2 linked regions of the Coturnix japonica genome follow. The protein of the gene in region 2 binds, or shares a complex with, the protein of the main gene of each other region. Links are inferred from orthologs where the notes say so. Each region holds a gene or a part of one and is shown on either strand. Other genes may lie near its edges.

Region 1 (3,808 bases), on a different chromosome or scaffold from region 2:
AATACCCAAACAAAGGACCTTTTCTTGTCCAGAGCATCAAAGATAAATCCAATCTAAACCCAACATTCCAGAAATATCACCTCTTAGCATAGTACTGAAATAAACCATGCATCAAAAACAGATTTTTTCCTTCACACGTTCATTCCTTGCAAGTGATACCACTAACATCGTAAAATAACACTTAATCATCCTTCTCCAAACTAGGATTCTTACCCACTGATCACAGATTTTGTTACCTCATGACTCAGCACTATAGTTAACCCATCCATACCAAGCCTACAAGGAGGAGACAACAGACTTTCTGTACTAAGAATACAACCAGCTGATGAATTTGTCTAACTCCTTCAATGCTTTATCAAAACATCTTAATTTTTACATTACTTACTCATCATCTGGAGTGAGCTGCACAGGTTCATTGGTGAACTGGGAATCAAAGTTATCCAGACCAAATTCGCCAGATATATTTGGTTTAAATGGAGGCACCACTTGCTTTTGCTCCATCTAAGAACAAACACACTTAGTGACATCAAGAAAGAGTTATGACCCACAGAATTATATTTAAATAAGGCCAAAAGTTACTCTCAAATTCATTCCATATTCTCTCTAAAATACTCCACTGTACTCAGTGCATGTCAAAGAGGTTCTGTATTAAGACTGTAGTAAGCCAGTTAAGGGCTTAAGGTTTTATGAAGCTTTGTGGCATCTCTCACAATCAGAAGTTGCCACATCACCGCTGTACACAAAGCAGAGTCCAGCAGGCATTCACATACCAGATCCCAATCAACGTTGCGAAAAAATGGATGTCCCTGGATATCTGCAAATCCTGTCTGAGGGTGGCAGCCCAACCGCTCCTTTGGGTCCTGTGTAAGAAAGTATTTCTAAATGAGAGCCACAGCCTACGTATGAATAAAAGCATTGTTCCAAATTCTGTGAGAAATCATGAATTATCAGGAGTTCTGTTACGAGGTGCACTGAAGAACAAAGTTCGTGTTATTTATTTTGAAAAACGTTTCAATTTACAGAATATACAGAAGTCCAAACTTGAATAATATATAAACAACCACCCCATCTTCACTTATTTTTATTCAAATGGGTTTAAACATTTTGAAGCAAGTGAATTTGATTCTTCCCCTCAACAGGCAGCTTGCCTATCCAAGTTGTTTTGAGACAGTAACTGCAAGCTACTGATACATACAGCTGAAAGATTATTTTAACACTTCTCTCCACTAGGAGGCTGTAACACAATGCTCTCAGTAGAAGCAGAAAGAAGGAAATGAGTCGACTTTAAGAGGACAGCTCTGACAAGTCCCTTATTCAAGGGAAAGAGCTTCTCTGGTTGTTTATAGATGTCATACTACCACAACTAAGTTACTAACAATGTAAACGTCTTTAGGTACCCAGATAATGTGCTAAGCCTGTTCAGTTTTCCAAGCTAAAGAAATTATTTAGAACATTTCTAAGCCTTTTAGTTTGAAATTCACTTCCAGCTCCACAGCAATAATCTAAAGCTACAGATTCAAAGACAAATATTTTAAATAAGTTTCCCAGCCTTGCTAAAATGTTACAGGATTACACCTTCTGTACCCTCTTTCTGTGCACAGCAGCTAAGGTAGATCTGCTACACATCAATTAGTCCACAACAAAACAGCCACTCTGGAGAAGTCAAATCCTCTGTTTCAGTTCTTACCTTATTAAGGAAACTCTTTAGAACACCTGCGGCTTTAACAGAAAGGGATCGGGGAATTCGGATCTGCTTTTCCAAAATTACTGCAAGAAACCAGCGTTTATATCAGCTTTCACATCTTTAAACATAGCTTAAAGGTAAACAAAGTACTGAAGTATCTGAACACTCATGGTACTTACCTTGAAAAAGGTAGTCTTCTGTGTTCTGATCAGGATTGTCAGAACTTCCAACAATATCAAATGGAGACCTTCCTGCCATCATTTCAAACATCAATACACCGAGTGCCCACCAGTCTACACTGAAGCCTGGAATTCATAAGAGAAAATACTGATAAAGAATTTTGAGAGCAGAAAAAAAAAAGTCTTGCTGTAGTCCTAAAAATGTTTAGAGAATACTTTTAAACGAATTATCGATAGTGTGATTATCTAGTTTTCTATTGACTAGTTAATAAAAGAGAGGTAACAGCAGTAAACAGACATTACGTGGTTTGTTATGTGAAGGATAGGAGGAAATTCTGTACAAAGAGGAAATGCAAAACCTTTAAAGGGTGACGTCATAGCCTTAACAAAGTCTTAGATTACACATAGGCTTAGTCATTGCTAACCAACAGTCTGTTAACTGGGGAAGGACAAGAAGGAAGTACATGATTCTTAACAGTAGCAAGACAGTTCTTAGTCTATTATGCAGTGCTAAAGAAAAGAATTCCAGCAACTTAGGCTGAGACTGTTTATTGTATAAAACTTGTGAAAGGAAGGATGGACAGACAGATTTAATGTTAAGCCAGACAGAAACATTCAGTTAAGTTAGTGTATGTGCACTTCTACCTCTATTGGTATTTGGTTGTTATTTTGGTTTTGTTTTTTGTTGTTTTCTTTTTTAGTTGGAAATAATTATGGAACATTTACAAATCTTGAGGGAAGAACGCAGACCAAAGATCTGCTTCACACACTACTGGAAGTTAAGGAAGAAAGGATAAGCAGAAGAAACATACACAATAAACTGTACTCTTATCCCGCGTTTCAGGAGCCTTGTGGACTTCAACATGCATTTGCATGGACATTTTCAGTTTTTAAACACCAAAATTTGTGAAAGGGACATTCATTACCTAAGCCCTTTGTAATACATGTATTATATCACTACTGCCAAATACAAAGCTCCAAAAGTGAACACAAGGCAAGCAAGGGTATCTTTAAGAGTATATAAAACAGTTATAAACTATAATGAACTTAGAAGACCCATGCTACTCTTTAAGCTTGTTAAAAACAAGATAAGAGTGCAGAAGGTGGGATATCTGATTTGTTTGTTGTGATACTTTCAGCCTTCCCTTTGAAGGGTCCATTCACACCATGTTATCTTGGATGGGTCACAAGTCTAACAGAATTCCACTGCTAAACAACTTGAGCAAGAAGCTGAGATAACTGAAAGTTACATGGTAGACACATGGTAGCAGTGAAAAGTTTGAATTACCATAATCTTCTCCTCGAAGAATTTCAGGAGCAATATAGTTTGGAGTTCCACAGAACGTGCTTGTTGTATCGCCAGGCCTCAGCCCTTCCTAAACAAACAAACACCACCACTGTCAAAACAAGCTGTGTGTAACTCTCTCCCACCACATACTTTCTAAAACTTTTACTTGCCTCCTTTCAATCACAAAACAAAAAACCCTCTAAATTCCAGGCTGGGACATATTATTTGCTACACAAAAGCAGGTTGCAGTTAACATCTCATGAGGATGGCTTGTACCCACTGACAACAGTTCTTTAACCTTTCAGCTGGTCAACTCCATAATATCTCCAGTAACAGGAAACTGGGAATAACTGAGAAGTTGTGGAATGGTTCACATGCATAAAGAAATGCTCAGAAGTTTCACCTTTTTGAGTCTCTGCTTCTTTTAATTGACAATTAATCTCTGCTTCTTTAAAATGACAATTTCTTAATTGTTGCTTTTACTACTTAGGAAGGAACTACAGCTTACCTTGCACATGCCATAATCTGTGAGTTTAATATGTCCTTCAGAATCTAACAGCACATTGTCTAGTTTTAAATCTCTGTAGATTATGCCTCTTTCATGTAAATAATTCAATGCAAGGCTGATTTCAGCAGAATAAAACCTAGAACAGCAAG
Region 2 (4,348 bases):
ATATGTGTAGATACATGTTTTTTTTTAAAACTCTTTTGCACTGAACAACATTGGGGTGAAACCTTGATTCGAAACAAGACACATTTTTCACGTGGATCCAGATGTCTAGATCCCTTACTGTGACCTGTTTGGTAAAACTGTGGCTCAATACACTGCTGCTGCCCATATCTGTTCTCTGTTGTGGCTGTGTGAAGGCTGCCATCAGCCCAGAGCTGTGAGTCTGGTGTGGAGGTGGGCTCACGTGCAGGCCTGACCAGGTCGGCTTCTTTGTCTTCATATAGTTCAGCAATGCAGTCCCATTTCCTCCCCATCCACCTGCTGTGTGCTGTCTGTAACCTGCACACCCATCCTGGGGCGTAAGGCTGTGTACAATGTGATGACCCCACGAGCACTCGGACCCACAGCCCAGACCAAGAGAACTGTCTTTCTTAAGGAGGGGGGGAGGTAGATGGAAGTTGTTCCTGCTGTTCTGCAAAGGGACGAATTGGGGTTTGCTGCCTTTACCTGCGTGTTGAGAAGACTGAGAGCCAACCAAGGCTCTGCTGTTGGTTGTGTAGGCTCCACTCATCCTCTGGAACAAAACCCAGGGCTGTTTGCCACTCGTGCTGGCTTCAGAGATGTCCCAACCCAACCCCATGGCTGGGGATGGCCTGGAGGGGGCTCAGAGCGTGGCCATGGGGTCTGGGCCCCCATCTAGAGGCAAACTATTGTCTGCCAACCACCTTCCTTTACCTTTACCTGGCGAGGAGGAGAAATGCTGAGCCGAGAAACGCATCTCTGCTCCTTCCTGCCCCCCCTGCTCACATTAAACCAATTCTAGCTGACTTTTATTTTATAAGATTCTAATTTTTTGTTTTGTTTTTTTTGGTTACAAATAATAATAATTAAAAAAAAATAAAAATTAAAAAAAAATACAAAAGAAAGTGGCAATATTTTTGTTTTTTTCCTGTCAGCTTTTCCTAGGAAAAAACGTGGCTTTGTAACAAAGTTGTACAGTTCTGAAGTATGAAGATACGAGGAGTCGTGTGTGAGTGAGACGCTGTAAATGGGGCAGAGATTATTTTATGTACAGTCCGACGCAGGGGGATACTTTTAAAATTCCGGTTTTGATTCTTTAGGAAGAATTTTAGTTCTTCACTTTGTCAGGGTTTGGAATTTCATGGTTTTCGTTGTTATGATGATGATGATGATGATATATATATTTTTTTTCTTGTATAGATCGCTGCATTAATTGAATAAAAGCAGAAAGCATCGCTGTGCCGCCTTGTGTCGCTGTGTGTGGGGGGGTCAGGGCCTTACACAGCGCTGCGGCCTAGTCCGCTCCGTGTGGTGAAGCCTGACGGATGAACTACAACTCCCAACACCCCCCACAGCGACGGAGCATGCGCAGCGCGGATAGGAGGGCGCCGCCGCGCCGTGCGTGCAGCCCAGCGCTGATTGGCGGAGCGAGCTGTCAGTCAGGGACACGGCCCGCCCCGCCGCGGCGGTGCCTGCCCGGGGCTCGGCGCGCGGCGCTCGGCGCTCGGAGCGGGGGGGGGGCGGCAGCACCGGGACCGGGACCGGCAGCGGAACGGAACCAGCACCGGGAGCGGCACCGCCGGCAGCGGGAGCGTCTGCCCCGGGACAACCCACCCCGCCCGCCGCCTCCTGGTACCGAGCCGAGCCCCGCCGGCCCCACCATGATGAAGTTTCGGTTCCGGCGGCAGGGCGCAGAGCCGAACCGAGAGCGGATCCGCCACGACCTGTTCGCCTTCAGCAAGGTGAGCGACGGGACCGGGGGGCGACGGGGGGCGGGACCGGCGGCCAACAGCGCTGAGAGCGATCAGGGACCACCGGGGGGTGGGGGCGGCACGGGGGGAACCGGGCAGCGGGAGCCGAGCAGTGTGGGACCGCGGGACACCGGGTGTGTGTGTGTGTGTGTGTGTATGTGTATGGGGTCATACATGTGTGTGTATGGGGTCATACATCGCCCCCACACACACCGAGACCCCAACTGGGCGGCAGCGCCCGGTACCGGCACCCGTGGGGGCTGTACTGAGCTTTGGGGACCCCCGCACACACTGCGATCCCGAGTGTGACCCCCGTGCTGCTGCTATGGACCGGGGGGTTCTGCGGCCGCTTCATAGCGCTGCAGTCCGGTGTCACCCCCGGTGCTGCTCGGTGCCCGCTCTCTACGGGATCCTTCCATCCCTCCATCCCTCCATCCTGCAGTGCTGGGACGTCCCCGACTCCTGGGGACACCGAGCAGGAAAACATTGTCACCTTGGACGCGGTATTCACCCCCCCTCATTGCTCCCCAACGTTTTGGGGTGCCCCAAACCTACAGCAGGGTCTCACCCCTCACCTCAGCCCATCCCACTTTTGGGGTCCCACCACCAGACCCAGTTGCCTCCCCCCCCCCGCCCTGGGGTTGGGGGTTGCTGCGGAAGCTGTGAGCGCCCCGGGACGCTGCCTGCCCACCTGCCTCCCATTAAGGTCTTGGGTTTTGTTGTTTTTTTTTCCTTCCTTGTGAGCTCCAAATCTGCCTCACATTTGCTGTAATTTGGCCCAGTGCTCCTTGGCCGTGCGGAGCGGCCTGCTGCCGGATACAGCCCCGCTTCTGGTGGGAGGAGGGGGCTGCGAGGGGACTGGGTGCTCAGTCACCACCCCCAGCTCCATGGGCATCCCCACAGCCACCATCCCTGGATCCTCGAGCTGCCATCATCCCCTGTAGCATTAGGGCTGCAGGCAGAGGCTTGTGGGGTGGCTGTCCTGCAGTGAGGGTGTTTATGGGGCTCTTGTGGGGTGGTCCCGTCAGACCCCATCTGAACACTGAGCTCAGAGTGTCCCTATGGTGCCACCCCCTGCCCCCCTTTGGCTTTCAGCATCCTGGAGCCAGGCGTACATCCTGCAGAGCCTTTGAGGTGCTGTGTGGGTGATGGGGACCGGCACCCAAACTTGTCCTCAGACTGAGGGCGTTGCAGAACCCTCCTGCAAGGGGACGTGGTGGTCCCTGCTGCCGGGTGACACCGCAGAGCAGCTCTTGGCACAATCAGGAGGTGTCACCCCGGTGCATTTTGATGTTGCAGCCCCTGGGAGTGCTCCCTGCTGTGAAGGTGGTGGATGTCCCTCCCCCGCCCCCCTCCCCAAATGCTGCCCAGCCCCTCCTGGAGCAGCGAGTTTGGGCACACCATCATGGACTTCCTTGGGAAGGTGCCCACGGGGGCTCAGTGTGGTCCCACTTGCCTGGTTCTGTGTGGCACCGCTGGGAACCCCCATGTGCTCCTCAGGGTGCTGCTGTGGATGGGGCTGTCCCCGTGCCTTTAGGTGGTGGGGTTCACCTCTTTAAGGTTAGGGCAGCCCTGGTCCTTTGGTGTCGTTTGGGGTGGCTCGGTCGGTTTTGGGGTGTAAATCCCTGAGGCAGCTCCTGGTGCTGCTGTGGCATCCTCAATGCGTTGCAGGGCCAGGGCTGAGGCAGCTCAGTGCCACCCTGCTGGGCACTGTTAATGCTGCCCCTCCTGCATGGAGGGCTTGGGATTTGTGGGGACTCTGCTCTGACCCCTCTGTCCCCACAGACAGTGGAGCATGGCTTCCCCAGCCAGCCCAGCGCCCTGGCCTACGACCCCCGGCTGCGTGTGATGGCCATCGGCACCAAGGCAGGAGCTGTTAAGCTGTATCCTTTCCTAACAACCCCCCCCTCCAAAAAACAAAACACTGAGGGGGGGCAGCGCAGCCCCCAGCCACGTCCTGGCGGTGTCCGTCCATCCGTCCAGCTGGGCTGCAGCTGTGCTGAGCTGGGGGGGGAGCGCCGGGGGCTGGAGCAGAACGGCTGCCTTGTCCCGAACTGTGAGCCTGGAGCGGTGATTTGGGGGAGGAAAACAAACCCAACCAAAACCCGGGAGCGGGATGGGATGGGATGGGGTGGATGGGATGGATGCTCCCATCCCGGGATGCTGCGGCTGTGCTTTGTTGTGAGCGGGGAGACTCCGCTGTGCTGCTGGCGGGCAGCCAGGGCTGGATGTGGCCACATCGGGGCCCCCGCACTGCAGGAATGTGGGGGGGGGCACTGGGAGGCTGCATCCCACACGGGATTCTTTTTTCTTTCTTTTTTCTTTTTAAATAATTTTGTTTTTGGAGGGCAGAGCTGCCCCGGCTTCCCTGCCTCCATCAGCTTGCTGCGTTCCTGGCTTGAAGATGGCATTTTAGTGCCAGGGCTGCTCCGATCCTGTCCTGGTGCCATCCTGGCCATGTCTGTGCTGGTTCTGGTTCTGGGTAGGATGCTGGGGGACCATCTCCACCCCCAGCAATCTGTGTCTCCTCAGCAACCAGGGGGTCCTGGCACTTGGTCCCCTTATAGTACTGCACTGCT

Evidence for each region.
Region 1: the proteins of LLGL1 (region 2) and PRKCI are in contact, whole or in part, in a cryo-EM structure (PDB 8R3Y), measured with the Homo sapiens proteins. The link is inferred for Coturnix japonica from reciprocal best matches to the Homo sapiens genes LLGL1 and PRKCI. Residues at the interface, in NP_004131.4 of Homo sapiens: Ala315, Asp319, Glu367, His391, Ser392, Ala394, Thr396, Glu453, Cys483, Glu484, His485, Phe506, Asp507, Pro508, Tyr509, Ser510, Asp511, Pro513, Gln518, Lys519, Lys569, Ala600, Val601, Thr602, Leu644, Gly648, Pro649, Leu650, Ser651, Arg652; in NP_002731.4 of Homo sapiens: Asp339, Met341, Gln345, Arg348, Leu381, Asp382, Met399, Thr412, Phe413, Cys414, Pro417, Leu425, Glu445, Gly449, Arg450, Ser451, Gly457, Ser458, Ser459, Asp460, Asn461, Pro462, Asp463, Asn465, Thr466, Glu467, Asp468, Tyr469, Leu470, Phe471.

Annotation. Positions count from the first base shown.
Region 1 is NC_029524.1:17,526,787-17,530,594, forward strand, and holds part of PRKCI (protein kinase C iota type), read right to left. Parts: intron 3,796-3,808; coding exon 3,660-3,795; intron 3,240-3,659; coding exon 3,152-3,239; intron 1,990-3,151; coding exon 1,864-1,989; intron 1,768-1,863; coding exon 1,688-1,767; intron 861-1,687; coding exon 771-860; intron 502-770; coding exon 386-501; intron 1-385.
Region 2 is NC_029529.1:5,074,170-5,078,517, forward strand, and holds the start of LLGL1 (lethal(2) giant larvae protein homolog 1), read left to right. Parts: upstream 1-1,477; 5' UTR 1,478-1,679; coding exon 1,680-1,760; intron 1,761-3,554; coding exon 3,555-3,652; intron 3,653-4,348. UniProt on the Homo sapiens protein: Cortical cytoskeleton protein found in a complex involved in maintaining cell polarity and epithelial integrity. Involved in the regulation of mitotic spindle orientation, proliferation, differentiation and tissue organization of neuroepithelial cells.